2 linked regions of the Macaca fascicularis genome follow. The protein of the gene in region 1 purifies or fractionates together with the protein of each later gene. This does not show direct contact. Links are inferred from orthologs where the notes say so. Each region holds a gene or a part of one and is shown on either strand. Other genes may lie near its edges.

What was found. Proteins that work in one complex are often made in the same cells at the same time.
Region 2: the proteins of SLC30A4 (region 1) and PDS5B purify together in Homo sapiens (affinity purification with mass spectrometry; 3 studies listed by BioGRID and IntAct, counting the BioPlex papers as one, with this or other methods). This does not show direct contact. The link is inferred for Macaca fascicularis from reciprocal best matches to the Homo sapiens genes SLC30A4 and PDS5B.

Annotation. Positions count from the first base shown.
Region 1 is NC_088381.1:22,024,782-22,032,267, forward strand, and holds part of SLC30A4 (probable proton-coupled zinc antiporter SLC30A4), read right to left. Parts: intron 3,392-7,486; coding exon 3,245-3,391; intron 1-3,244. UniProt on the Homo sapiens protein: Probable proton-coupled zinc ion antiporter mediating zinc import from cytoplasm potentially into the endocytic compartment. Controls zinc deposition in milk.
Region 2 is NC_088391.1:12,290,575-12,298,548, reverse strand, and holds the start of PDS5B (sister chromatid cohesion protein PDS5 homolog B), read right to left. Parts: upstream 5,376-7,974; 5' UTR 5,232-5,375; intron 4,772-5,231; exon of another isoform or gene 4,393-4,771; intron 1-4,392. UniProt on the Homo sapiens protein: Regulator of sister chromatid cohesion in mitosis which may stabilize cohesin complex association with chromatin. May couple sister chromatid cohesion during mitosis to DNA replication.

The DNA.
Region 1 (7,486 bases):
TCTTTCCTTTAGGGTTAATTTTTCTGTTAGTTTAGTTTTGATCATTTTAGTTCATGCTGCTGGTTCTTCCCACATGCTGGAAGATTCTTGGTTGTCTATTCATACTTAGGGCAGAAGGATAGGGAAACTATCCTTTGTAAAAAGGAAACGCTGGAAGGATAAGCCAGAAATGAATTGAAATAATATTTTTTGGTAGAGACAGGGTCTTCCTATGTTGCCCAGGCTGGTCTCGAACTTCTGGGCTCAAGGGATCCTTCTGCATCAGCCTCCCACAATGCTGGGATTGCAGGCATAAGCCACCATGTCCAGCCTAAAATGGTTATTAATATGTGGTGTAGGGCAGGGCAGAGAACTATATTCCTTTAGGGTGAGTAGATGGAGAATCAGGATATGAGGTGGCAGAACTCTGAATTCTAGTAAAAATAAGACTTATTTTGGAACATCAACATCTACACTAATTCTCAGTTTTCCCCAAACATTTTGTTCAGTTTTTTTTCTAGAAGAAATATCTGGTGTTTTACCTGGGGGAAAGTGTAAGCTGCCCGAGTAGAAGTAGGAGTAGGAAGGGAGGTAGGGGCATAGTGACCACTGGGAATGGCTTCCCATTTATTCAATTAATCTTCCCTGTTTTCAGCCCCAATTCTCATTTCTGCTCATCTCTGTCCCTAAGCCTTAAGATCTGTTGGGCTGGTCCGGTTCCTAGTTCAGAGTATGTTCTACACATTGCTTCTTGGCTTGTTTTCTCCTTCAACCCACTCCTATCTACTTTACAACTTCCAAAAATTTCTGGAAATTTGTTTATTGGTAACCCAATCATGTAATTCTCTTTGGTGTTTTGGTACCTCTATGTTTTTATTTTAATGGACTCTCAGAGAGACAGGAATCAAATGGTGCTGTCTGGTCTACCTTCTTGGAACTTAGTACTTTTAAGGAAAGGGAAAGATTTGACTTTCTATAGAAAATTCCAGAGACACAATAGGACCAGTCAGTTCTATTGTCTCTTATTTTTACACAGTACTTATTTATGAAGAAGCAAAGTGACTATGTAGAACAAACACTAAGTACTTCTTTAATATTTAACAGAATTTTCATCATTATGGGTTCTTATATGTGTAGCATCTTCTATATTCTGTTATTGCATGTTTCTGAGGGAGTGTTTCACTGCTTTCATCAGAATTCCAAGGGGTTTATAACCTAAAAGAGTTTAAGAACCACAGGACTATATAAATGTACTCTCTCAAACAGTGTTAAAAGATTCCCATTCCATGATGATATGTTTACATTTTAGATCTTAACTGCAGGTGTTTAAATCACAAAAAAATTAATGTTTAAAAATAATTTTGAAGCTGTTTAAAAATCCCAAGGCAACCAGTAAACAAACGACTATATAATATGTTGAGAAGCAGTGGGGTTTCTTTTAGGAACACATTCTTTTTTTTTTTTTTGAGACAGAGTCTTACTCTGCTACCCAGAATGGAGTGGACTGGCATGATCTAGGCTCATTGTAACCTCTGCCTCCCAGGATCAAGCGGTTCTCCTGCCTCAGCTTCCTGAGTAGCTGGGATTACAGGCGTGCACCACCATGCAGAGCTAATTTTTGTATTTTTAGTAGATACGGGGTTTCACCATGTTGGCCAGGCTGGTCTTGAACTCCTGATCTCAGGTGATCCACCTGCCTCGGCCTCCCAAAGTGCTGGGATTACAGACGTGAGCCATCACACCCGCCACGAACACATTCACATGCATTATGCAGTAGCTTAACAAAAGAAAAACTTCACTTGGGGCTTTAGCTCTTTTGTACAGTAGCTGAGAGTACTGAGGGCTGGGGATGCTAAATAATTTTTCAACCCAATGACCTGGATAGCTACTTGGAATATCACCATTTAGGTACAGTGTCAAATTTTGCACCAGAAGACCTAGTCACTAAGTAAGAAGTCCTAGATGCTGTGGGCCGGTCATGGTGGCTCACACCTGCAATCCCAGCACTTTGGAAGGCCAAGGTAGGAGGATGGCTTGAGCACAGGAGTTTGACATCAGCCTGGGCAAGGGATGACTCCCTTGTAGGGAGACCCTGTCTCTACAAAAAACACAAAAATTAGCCGGGCATGCTGGTGCACACTGATAGTCCCAGCTACTTGGGAGGCTGAGGTGGAAGGATCACTTGAGCCTGGAAAGTGGAGGTTGTAGTGAGCTGAGATCACACCACTGCACTCCAGCCTAGGCAACAGAGCAAGAAGATCACACCAATGCACTCCAGCCTGGGCAACAGAATAAGACTCTGTCTTAAAAGCAAAAACAAAAAACAAATACAAAGAAAACACAGGTAAAGAAACAAAAAGTTTACTGCACTCCAGCCTGGGCAACAGAGCAAGACTCTGTCTTAAAAGCAAAATCAAACAACAAATACAAAGAAAACATAGGCAAAGAAACAAACAAAAAATCTACAGTCTAAAATTTTTTTAGGCTAAAAAATAACAAAGAAGATGAGGAATTGATTGATATATTAGCCAGGAGCATCAGTATTCCTACAAAATGAAATTATCAGATATTAACTCTAGTTCTTTGAGGCAAGTTTTGCTGAAGCTACTTAAATGTCAACTTTTGCATTCTGACTCTGGATAAATGTTACTTCACATAATAGTTCAGGTAATTATTTTACATATATTTTCAAAATAAGCAAAAAATTTAAAAACAGTAATATAGTAAGAAGCAGAGCTGTGTAGATCACAATGTATGATTTTAACTCTATAATTAAACTTTAATATTGTTCAAAACAGGCAAATAAAAATATGTGTGCATTTGCACACTTATATTGATACAATGGCTGCAGTCAAGCTCAGCCACACAGCATGTGATAGCTCTGCTTAAAATCTAAGCCATGGTAGCTTTGGCTGAAATATCTGAAGTAAAAGGGAGAAGCTAATGCTCACTAATGGGTTAAACCCATGTGGTTTTGCTTTGTTCAATTAACTGAAAGTAAACTTTATTCTGATGATATCTTCAGGACACAGGGAACAACGTTTGAAGATTAATGATTATCATATAATTTTATATGTGTAAACTGTTTAGCTGACTGGGCTGAATGTACCCTGGAAAAGATGTTTTTGAATAAATCTTGTTTATCTATTTTCATTTGCTTTGTTCAAACAATATATCACTGGAACGAGTTCAGTTAATCAGGGTTATAGTTCATTGTGGTTTTACTATAAAACATTATAAAACAAAAGAAACGCCAACTACCTACCTAAGCGATGAAATCCAAAGGTGAATCTTTTGGTTGGTGATTTTGATGATAGCCACAAAGCAAGCAGGGTGAGTATGATGGCGCTTAGGTCAGTTAACATATGAAGTGCATCTGTCATGATTGCTAGGCTATTTGCAATGTATCCACCTTAGAGTTACAAGTAGGAGGAAAAAAGGAACAAGTTAATTTTTTTAAAAAGCAAGCAATCAAACTAGAAATATGCAATATCCTACAAAACATGAACTTCTAACTAAATCTTTGTCCCATTACAATTAAATCAAGGTATTCTGAAATTGTATTCAAAATATTAGATACAGGTACATTTTTCTGGTGAAATATCAACTTCTTTTCTTTTTTTTTTTTTTTTTTTTTGAGAGGGAGTCTCACTCTGTTGCCCAGGCTGGAGTGCAGTGGTGCAATCTCTGCTCACTGCAACCTCTGCCTTCTGGGTTCAAGTGATTCTTGTGCCTCAGCCTCCTGAGTAGCTGGGACTACAGGCATGCACCACCATGCCAAGCTAATTCTTGTATTTGACAGGGTTTCACCATGTTGGTCAGGCTGGTCTCAAACTCCTGACCTCAAGTGATCCGCTCGCCTTGGCCTCCCAAGTGCTGGGATTACAGGCATGAGCCAATGTGTTCAGTCAGAATATCCATTTCTAGTAACACATTCTGCAAGGAGTCAATGACCTTTAGAAAGTTAAGAACCACAAAGCAAATATATATAGAGAGATTTTGTGTCTTGGTACTGAAGCTTTTGTTCAATTTACTAATTCTATTAGACAGTGAATGAATAACCATAATATCTAAATATTACAACAAAGCTGAAGAAAAGGATGTTCACTTGTTGAGGGGCATTTGAACATAAAATTAAAGTGAGGAAACCTACAAAATGTATGTTAGTTTGATATAAAATATGTAAAAATTACCTGATTCACTTAGCAGTATCTCTGAAGAGGGGTACAAAAGGTGGTATTGAGGATACAATTTTTGTTATTGATTTTCCAGGCATTTAATATATATATTATACATTGTTTCACTGTGTGTCTGTATTGTCCCATAATGGACAACCAATTTTCCCAGCACTACTCATTGAATAAGCTTTTATGTGTATCAGAATCACCTGGAGGGCTTGTTTAACTACAAACTGCTTAACCCCACTCCCAGAATTTCTGATTCAGTAGGTCTGGGATGGGGATGGGGATGGCACCTGAGAATGCATATTGCTAACATGCTCCCAGGTAACGCTGATGCTTCAAGTCTTGGAACCACACTTTGAGAATCACTGTTATAATGTACAGCAGAACTGCATGATCAGGTTAAGTGTGCTGAGCTGTGGATCCTCCTCATTCCTGGGCTAGGTGTGTAGAGACAAGAGCAGCAGGAGACTAGGGGCTGATGATCTTTTAGTCACATCCATTTACCCCAGTGTGCTCTATACAAATAGCATTTTTATGTATTCCCCAACATGAAAAAGCTGGAAAGCACCAAGAGAAGGCTGGAGGTAAACAACATGAAGCTTTGGAGTCTCAGAAAGTCTGAATGAGTTAATCTTTTTGAGCCTCAGTATACTCATCATTTTATAATGAGGATAATTCCTTAAAGCAACTCTGTCCAACAGAACTTCAAGATGATAGAAATGTTCTGTATCTGAGTTGTCCAATGGTGTAGTCACTAGTCACATGTGGCTTTTCAGCATTTGAAAAATGGCTAGTAAGGGTGGGGCACAGTGGCTTATGCCTGTAATCCCCCGTTTGGGAGGCCGAGGTGAGAGGACTACATGAGCCCAGGAGTCTGAGGCTGCAGTAAGCTATAATGGCACCAGTTCACTACAGCTTGGGTGAGAAGAGTGAGACACTGACTAAAAAAAGAAAGAAAAATGGGGCCAGGTGCAGTGGCTCACGCCTGTAATCCCAACACTTTGGGAGGCTGAGGCAGGCGGATCACCTGAGCTCAGGAGTTCGAGACCAGCCTGGGCAACATGGTGAAACCCCATCTCTACCAAAAGAATAAGTAAGAAAGAAAAAGAAAAATGGTTAGTGAACCTAAGGAATTTAATTAATTAAACTTTTTTTTTGTTTGTTTAAAGAGTCAGGGTCTCGCTCTGCCACCCAGGCAGGAATGTAGTGATGTGATCATAGCTCACTGTAGCCTCAACCTCCTGTGTTCATGTAATCTTCCCATCTCAGCCTCCTGAGTAGCTGGGACTACAGGCATGCACCACCATGCTCAGCTAATCTTTTTATCTTTTTTTTTTTTCAGGAGATGAGGTCTTGCTATGTTGCCTAGGCTTAATTATTTAATTAACCTAAACTTAAAAAGCTACATGTTGGTGACATCAGCCAAAAAAAAAAAAAAAAAAAAAAAAAAAAAAAAAAAAAAAAACACGTTAAGGACCTCTGAAAATCATCTTCACAAAAAGAATGAAAACATTGACAAAAATAGTCAAAATGAGCTTTTTCAGAACTTCGGAAGTTAGCCAAAAGCTTATACACATAGCACTTAATCAAGAAAAATAGCTGAATCTCAACAAGAACAGTTACCTTTGTGGTGTTTTAATTTGCGGTGTACCCGTTTGTTGTCCTCCAGCTCTGTGGTAGCCTTGAAAACCAACAGGCCACAATCACTGTGAAAACCTCATGTTGGCAGCCACTGGAGGATACAAAATGAGTCTGGAGCTCCTTCAATGCCCCATTCCCAGAGAACTGTCATTATTTGACCTGCCTAGTCGTTCCCTAAAAGACGTGCAAGGATGCTTTTATTTGACTGGACACTTGAAGCTGGCCTTGTATGAACAGCCCCCATCTTCCCATGCTTGTCAAAAATCAGAGGCAACTAATACTGCAGCTTCCTGAGGTAGGTAATGATGGTTCCCTGTGTTCAGAAATTTCACAATGTCTACCCTGGCATAGATCTTTTTTCCCCCAATTTGCTCTTTCAATCTAGAAATTTGTGGCCAGGCACAGTGGCTCACACCTATAATCCCAGCATTTTGGGAGGCTGAGGCAGGTGGATCACCTGAGGTCAGGAGTTCGAGACCAGCCTGACCAATATGGAAAAACCCTGTCTCCACTAAAAATACAAAATTAGTCAGGTGTGGTGGCACATGCCTGTAATCCCAGCTACTTGGGAGGCTGAGACAGGAGAATTGCTTGAACCTAGGAGGTGGAAGTTGTGGGGGGCGTGGAGGTTGTGGTGAGCTGAGATTGTGCTATTGTACTCCAGCCTGGGCGACAAGAGTGAAACTCTGTCTCAAAAAAAAAAAAAAAAAAAAAAATTATAGAAATGGGTATCCTCCAGTTACGGGAAAACTTCCTAAACTATAAACTATAGTGTTGAAGATTTCATCAACTTTGCTTTCTCTCTTTCTCAAACTCCTTCCTGTTATTTGGAGTTTAGACTGATATTCTAATTTTTTTTTTTTTTTTTTTTTTTTTTTTTTTAAGACAGAGTCTCACTCTATCACCCAGGTTTGGAGTACAGTGGTGCAATCTCAGCTCACTGCAACTTCCGCCTTCTGGGTTCAAGCAATTCTCCTGCCTCAGCCTCCTGAGTAGCTGGGATTGCAAGCATGTGCCACCACGCCCGGCTAATTTTTGTATTTTTAGTAGAGATGGTGTTTCATCATGTTGGCCAGGCTGGTCTTGAACCCCTAACCTCAGGTGATTGCCCGCCTTGGCCTCCCAAAGTGCTAGGATTACAGGCATGAGCCACCACACCTGGCCTCTAAATTGTTTTTGCCCTTTCTCTCCAATTATACAACTTTTTGCTCAATTCTATGAGACAGTACCTTAATTCATCTTCTTTTTTTGAGACAGGGTCTTGCTCTGTTGTCCAGGCTGCAGTTCAGTGGCACAATCATGGCTTACTGTGGCCTGGACCTCCTGGGCTTAAGTGATCCTCCCACCTCAGCCTCCTTTGTAGCTGGGACTACAGGCATGTGCCACCACACCTCACTAATTTTTTATTTTTATTAGAGACAAGGTGTCACTATGTTGCCCAGGCTGGTCTTGAATTCTTGAGCTTAAGCAATCCTCCTGCCTTAGCCTCCTAAGTTGCTGGGACTACAGGAGCATGACACCATGCTTGGTTTTTTTTTTTTTTTTTTTTTCCCCCAATTTTTAGTAAAGATGAAGTCTCACTATATTGCCCAGGCTGATCTTGAATTCCTGGGCTCATGTGATCTTCCCACCTCAGCCTCCCACAGTGCTGTGATTTCAGGCATGAGCCACTGCAGCCAGCC
Region 2 (7,974 bases), on another chromosome or scaffold:
AAAATATTTTTCCTCTTCTGAAAGTCCCACCTCTCTCAGACCATCTTAGCTCTTAGGTAAGGGTGAAGGTACGTGGTGGGGGCAGCAAATAAATTAAACTAGCATTAAACCACTTGATTAAAGAATATGTTGCAAATGACTTCCCCCTAATAAGCATATAAACAAATGGTTACCTTCACTCACAAAGAAATAAAACCTAAAACAAGAGAAATTTCATATATCAAATTGGCAATATAGTTTTTAAAGTCCAATGTTGGTAAATACATGTCAAAGGTATTCTCACACAGTGCTGGTTAACGTAAACTATTACAACATAGTACTTACTCAACAGGAGTCAGAAAAAATAAATTATGTTATAAAATATTCTAATCATTTCATGATTATGTTGCTCTGTATGTGCCAGTATGAAAAGAGCTTGTGACTTAACCAGGAAAAAAGTAAATTACAGTTAAAAAATAAAATATTAGGCTGGGCGTGATGGCTAATGCCTGTAATCCCAGCACTTCAGGAGGCTGAGGCGGGCGGATCACGAGGTCAGGAGTTTGAGACTAGCCTGGCCAACATAGTCTCTACTAAAAATACAAAAATTATCCGGGCATGGTGGCACATGCCTGTAGTCCCAGCTACTCAGGAGGCTGAGGCAGGAGAATCGCTTGAACCCAGGAGATGGAGGTTGTGGTGAGCCGAGATCGCCCCACTGCACTCCAGCCTGGGCAATAGAGCGAGACTCCATCTCAAAAATAATAATAATAATAATAATAAAATAAATAAAATAGTAAATTTTATTAGTAAATTTTAATAAACAGTAAATTTTAATAGTACAGCAGTTTAACAATACTCTTTGTATAATTTTTTTTTTTAAGTAAACTTTTGAGAAACTGTTAACAGTGGGTTGCCTGTGGGGGGAGGAGAAAAGTAACATTTTTTACTTAAAATACACAATTCATTAAGTACTCTATTCCCCTAATAGAGTACTTAAGGCCTGCAACTCTCACCCCCGCAACCCTCACCCCTGTACCCAATCCAAGCCATCCCATATCTGAAAGCTACCTGGTAAAATTTCAGCTACTAAGGGACATATTTTGGAGATACAGAGCTTTCCTTTAAAATCTCCTAATTACTTCCCTAAAATCACCTCTGGGGAGAAAGAATCCTATCCTACCTAAGGAAACACAAACTCTCATTTCTTTCCAGGTCCCTAACCATTCTCTTCTAGAGAAAGACAACGGTCTTGGTTATAACAGCCCCTCCTTCTCCTTATGGGATCTAATCTTGGCTAATTTCACTCTCCCACATAAAAAGAGCAACCTCAACTCTTCACTGAAAAGGAAGGAGGGCCTGCTCCTCTGGAACTAAGTAACAGCAGAGTTCCTACTCTCTGGTCTGTCTCAGTTCTCATCACCTTGCTGTGGATGGCCAACCACTACTCTACACTTCTATAGGACAGGGTGTCTTCTTCAGTCCTGTTTATTACACCATCCTTGGTACTGTATGTATACAGAAGTTTAGTGCCTGTTCATTTTAACTGAATCAGGTCATGATCTGTCAAAAGAGAGAGTGGCAGGCCTCAAAATAGTTTCTTGCTTTAATCAGTCTTTCCCCCACGCCTGTTAGCCTTCAAGTTTTACACAGCTAAACCAAGTATTTCTAATTACTACTTATTATTAATGTCTAATTATTAGAACACAATGATTATGGATACTTTTTAAATCTCAAATTAAAGGCTTTAAGATTTGAACAACCAAATTTTATTCACCTAAGATTTATTGTCATGATTTTCTCACTGTACATGATCACTCATGCCAGCTAAAACAATTACAGTCTCAACACAGCAGACTTATTCTTAACTCTGAACTAACTGATGAGAAAGGATTCTAAAACCTTTTTCAACTAATGGGGGGAAATGGTTAGAATCAGGTGGCTTATAACAGAACAGTGTGAGAAAAGGGCTCAACTGTACTCTCCAAGGAGTCAGAACTGCAAACCATTTGGCAGCTTCTTAACTAAGCTTAAAAAGTAAATACATTCTCAGAGAAATTACTGGGCTTATTTTTAAACTAAGTATTTTTGGAATCTTTAACATTCCCGAACAGAAATACGAAAATCAAATAAAATGCATATTGTAACTGGAAGTGACAGATGACTTGTGTGGCAAACTAAGTTTAAAAATTAAAAAAAAACACACACTCATGTATGCACTGTATCTTGTAACAAAACAAAGGTCATACTAACTTTCCCAAATTACTCTTAGAAGTTTCACAAACAATAAATAAACGCCATGTCAAGTAATATTACATAATGAAAGAGCAGGCAGCTCCCGGAGACAGACACCTACAAGAGGTTATCTTCTGAGACAACCTAAATGGACTGAATCCTAAACAGAAATTATTAAAAACCAGACGCTGAAACAGATGGCTAACCACAAAACTTTATTCTTGGTTAAATGAATAAAAAGGTGAGAAGGGGATGGAAGGTAATGTGCTACCCTGAATTTTTATTAATAAATATTGCTAAATCCTGAATAGAACAAAAAAAAGACAATGGGGAAACTTCTCAGCTTCCAGGATATCTAAGAGCTGCCCCAATTCCACCACATGAATACGACTGTGACCTCAGATAAATCAATGAAATTAAAATCTGAACCGAATTTCTCATGTATAAGCGAGTTGGAGATCATCCTTAAGTTTTCTTGTTGCTCTCTAACACTAACGGAGGAAACATAAATAACTTTTCCAATATAAGTTATATACAGTCCATGTCATTCAAGAGTCCATAAGCCAAATCTTACTGAGCGCACTCCTGTTAGTTCTAAGGCAGTCTCTAAATTTCCCAAGAGGAATAAGCAGAAAGAATACAACTTCCCGAAATATTCCTTTCTCACAAAGTTTTGGGTATTTTCTACCATTGCATTCTTCTCCAGGGCAAGCCCTAACACAAAGTATTACTTTATCTTAGGCCTAACAAATTATTGATAAAGCCTACTCCTCAAAATGTTACTTTGTTAAACAAAGCTGCAGAACAATTTAAACAACTTTCATCAAACAGCCAACTCGGTAGAATCTTACTACAAGTAAGCTTAATACAAACATCTCACGACAAGAATCACTATCATCAGTACATGTGTCTCTAATACGGGGGTAAAAATGAGAGGGGAGAGACATAACACGAGAGAATAAAGGCGACAAGAGTAACAAAAGCTGCTGTAAAAGGTAATATAGGGAAAATCAGCCTTAACCAAAACAAGGAGAAAAGAAAAAAAGAAAAAGGGTGAACACAAACACTACCTTCCCATTTAAAATACACCTTTAAGTAAACGCCAGCTGAGAAGAGGACAATTTTTTAAACCATCAGAAAAAGGAGGAAAAAGTCACTATTTGGATAATTTTTATAAAGTCTAAAGTGCATCTTTTTACATATACTTGTAAACGTATATTAAGCACAAATCTTATTTCTAAGGAATAACGTTCTTAAAATGTTTTTAGTTTCTGACAATCAATCGATCTTAACATAAAAGGTCCCATGTAACTTTCACCTATTCACCACTACAAATTTTAATTCGGTTTTCTGCTATCACCATGAGATACAAGATTAACTGTTCCACGAACTGACCCACATACACCATTGAATACTCATTTCATTGTCCCTAAAGATGCGAACATCTCAGACATGTGTACTGCATAACGAGCTGTCTTTCAAGTCCATATTTGTGGCTTTTAACTAGTTTACCTGACCACTACATGAGTTAATATAAAAAACGTTCTGTCTGGGAACTCTGGATGGGTTAACTGAGAACAACGACTATATTGCCGTTCAAGTATTGGGTAATGACGATTTATTTACAGCTCGCCTCCTGCATGTAAACACAACGTGAGTTTTTGAAGTTTATTAGGAAGATGGTATAGGATTACCCAACTCTCTCCACACCGCAGACCAACCCTCTAAATTAAAGCTATATCCAAAGTTTCTGAAACTATTTCATCGACAGGGTAGGATCAGTCGGGGCACCACTGCCCATCCATCACCTCTTATTAAAAGTACAAGAAGCACTTTCTTCGACATAAAAAAGGGTTAACCCTTGCTGGGGTAGAGAGGCTGTTGAAGACGCGCGCGGAATGGGTGGGTAGCTGCTCTTTCAACCCTTCCCGGAGCTCGCCCCGTCCGCGGCAAGGAACGCAGCAGCCTGCAGTTCCGAAGGCGAGGGGCGGCGTTTCTGGTTTCAGTCATTCCTCCAAAATAACTGTCGAGCTACTTCAGAGTTAGCTTTCACGTCTCTACCAAAAACCAACAGCAGTAGCAGCAACAACAACAAACAAGGTTTTTCTCCGGACCGAAAACTTTTAAAGTAGCATTAAAATAACAGTGCAAAAACATTAACGAGTCACAATTGCACACCATTTTCCCCGCCGTTCCTTCCGAAAGGAAAGCTAGAACCCAGTTGTCGCCTGGGAGGAGTCCCTCCACGCCAGCGCTGGGCTCTTGCTCAACGGGGTCCTCAGGTTCCCCGAGCACCCACTCCGGGCGGCGCGGTGAGCGCGATTTCCCTCGGGCAAGCAGCGAGGAACAGCGCAAAAATGTCATGCTCAGCCCGTCCCCTGGCCCGAAGCGCAGGCCAGGCGGCGCGCGGGGAGCCGGCGACGAGGGCGAGGGCGAGGGCGCCCGCGGCCCCGACCCGCGGTCCCCGCCCGCCCCTCGCCCGGAAGGGGGAGAAGCCCGCCCGCGGGAGGATTCAACAGGAGCACCGCGCCGCCCGCCTGCCGCCCGGGAAACAGCCGCCGGCCGGCCGGGGCGCGGGGGGAGGGGCGCGGCGGCGGCGGTGGCGGCGGGAGGGCGCGGGCGGCCGGGCGGCCCCGGGACCCCAGCCCGCGCGCAAGGTCACCGCCCGCCGCCGCCGCCGCCCGGGCCGGGATCAGAGCGGCAAGTTTAATTTCCAGAGGCTGCGGCAGAGCCCGCGGCGTGGAGGCGCGAGTCGGCCGCCGGGCCCTCCCCACCCCCACCGCGCAGCCGGCCCGCGCCCCGCGACCCCCGCCCCGGGCCGCCGCCAGGCAGCCGCCCGCTGCAGCCCCCGATGCCGGGAGGCGAGTCGCGCCTGGCACCCGGGCGGGCGGCGCTTCAGCCCTGCCACACACACACACACACACACACACACAGCTGCAGTGGCGGCCACCGAAAAATGGAGCGCCGCGGCCAGAGAAGAGAGACATTTTCTTTCCGTTAACTGAATTGTTTCCTACCTCCGGGTTTCCGACTCGCTACTCCTCTCACTCCGCGGCTCTCCGGGATCCGCCGCCGCCGCCGCATCCAATCGCCTTCTCTCCCCCCTCCCCTTCCGCAGCCAGCCCGGCCGTTCCTCCTCCTCTCCGCTTCAAAATGGCGCCAAGCGCTCTTCGGCGGCTGCTCCAATCGAACCGCCGCGGACAGCACCCGGGGGCAGGCAGAGCGCGGCATGGGTGCGCAGCGCCCCCTGCCGACCAGACGGCCCCGCGCGCGCCCGCCCTCCGAGCTCCGCCCCGCCCCGTCCGCGCGCGCGCACTCCCCTCCTCAGCCCCGCCCCGTCCGCGCGCACGCAGCCACACGGGCACGCCGCCGCGGAGGCCGCGAGACTGGCAGCTGTCAAGGCGTCCACTACCCTTGCAGCTTACTAGACCTCCACCGACAAAAATCATTCCGATTGTTACGTAGCCCTATCTTTTTAGATAAAGATTGGGAGATTTTTTTAAACACTGACATTCAGCACAGGTGTTGTGCTAGGTTAACATAATTGGTATTATTAACTACTTTGCTCCTTGTTAATTCTGACCTAGTCGTCTCGGAATGCCATACAAATAGTTTTCCTACACTTTATGTGTTGTGTCTTTATTAAATCTCCCCGCTTTCCTAATTTGATGAATTGTTCATAGGTGGTAAGCTGGCGGAGACACAGAGTAATTGAGCCTGTGACGAAGCATTCTATTCCTTTGGCAGAATTGTCCTTATTAGAGGAAGACATCATCTGGAGACCACAGGGACACATTCCAGGAGGTGGGTCTCCTCCCCTCTTCACCTTTAGGGGATGCCAGTCCCTCAAGTGGGTTTAGCCTGGTCACAACAGATCACCTACCTTTGGGGAAGCTTTTCCTCCCCTGCCAGAACTGAAGAAGGGACTTCCTCCTCTTTTTACTTTAATATCATCCCTTCTGTAAGGAAGTTTCCCCCGATATGATGTATTTGGTTACTAGAATTTTGTTCCAGGGAGAATTTGTTTCAACAATGAACAAGCAAAGGGTGAATGAATGGATTACAATAGGATACTTATCAACTGAAAGAAAAGATAGGTAATGCTGATCTGTAAACTAATGTTACTGTGCACCTAGAGATACTAGGTGCATTTTCCTCTGTCTGTCCTAATGGTAATTGCCTCATTCACCCTTACCATGTAGCTGTTTTGAAGGCTATCTCCTTTCTGCACCTAGAGATACTGAGACCTCTTCATTTCCATTTTTGTGGGATTTCCTGGACAATTCCGCTTCAGTCTCCTACAGTGCTTGCTAGACCAGTATGTTGTGTTACTGTATTCCTATGTCCAAGATTTTGCCACTGAATACTCCAGGTTCTACCCATTTTACACATTCCTTGATGAAGTCCACTATGAGTTTTTTCTGCTCTCTTTTTAAAATTATCTCAGGAATTTTCTTATTTTACATTGTTGTTCCATCAGCATAAATCTTGTATGGAAGAAGAGAGTAGGATGTCTAGATCTAGAAAAACCTTTCCTCTTTGGTTGTTTTTATCTTTTTTACTTTATTTTCTTCAATTCCCAAACCTCCAAAGCCAGGAAGCAAGAAAGTTTCAGAAGAACGGCAGGATGAGAGCAAGAATTTTTTTTTTCTTTTTTTTTTTTTCTTTTTTTTTTTGAGACGGAGTCTCGATCTGTCGCCAAGCTGGAGTGCAGTGGCGCGATCTCAGCTCACTGCAACTTCCCCCTCCCGGGTTCCAGCGATTCCCCTGCCTCAGCCTCCCAAGTAGCTGGGACTACAGGCACGCGCCACCACTCCCAGCTAATTTTTTGTAATTTTTAGTAGAGACGGGATTTCACCATGTTGGCCAGGATGGTCTCAATCTCCTTCCCTCGTGATCAACCCGCCTCAGCCTCCCAAAGTGCTGGGATTACAGGCGTAAGCCACTGCGCCAAGCCAGGAATTTTTGTATAAATTATTCAGTGCTCTTATCCCCATCATTTGACACCTAGAAGCCTCAGTAAATATTTTGTTGAATGTATGAATTATTTAAGAATGTCACTCTACATCTTGTATATGGCAGTGAGTCCTGAAAGGGATGAAGGTGTCACATCAGCTTTGTGAGCTGTTTTGCCAGTTTCGCCATTAACCCGCTCTCTTATGAAACGATGCCTTGAGTTTCAATAATGAGGCCCAGAATACATATCGCCCACATTAGGCTGCTAACACCACAGGATTAAGCCCAAGAAAGAGAGGGCAGAAAGGAGATAGCCTTCAAAACAGCTACATGGTAAGGGTGAATGGGGCAATTACCATTAGGACAGACAGAGGAAAAACTCTAAAGCTTTAATGAAGCATAATTTCTAATGAAAGGGCATACTTTTATATGACTACAAGTGGCTTTACGGAAATCAGTAATATAAACCTTCATTTAAAACAATACTGTTGGCCGGGCGCGGTGGCTCAAGCCTGTAATCCCAGCACTTTGGGAGGCCGAGACGGGCGGATCACGAGGTCAGGAGATCGAAACCATCCTGGCTAACACGGTGAAACCCCGTCTCTATTAAGAAATACAAAAAACTAGCAGGGCGAGGTGGCGGGCGCCTGTAGTCCCAGCTACTCGGGAGGCTGAGGCCGGAGAATGGCGTGAACCCGGGAGGCGGAGCTTGCAGTGAGCTGAGATCCGGCCACTGCACTCCAGCCTGGGCGACAGAGCAAGACTCCGTCTCAAAAAAAAAAAAAAAAAAAAAAAAAACAATAC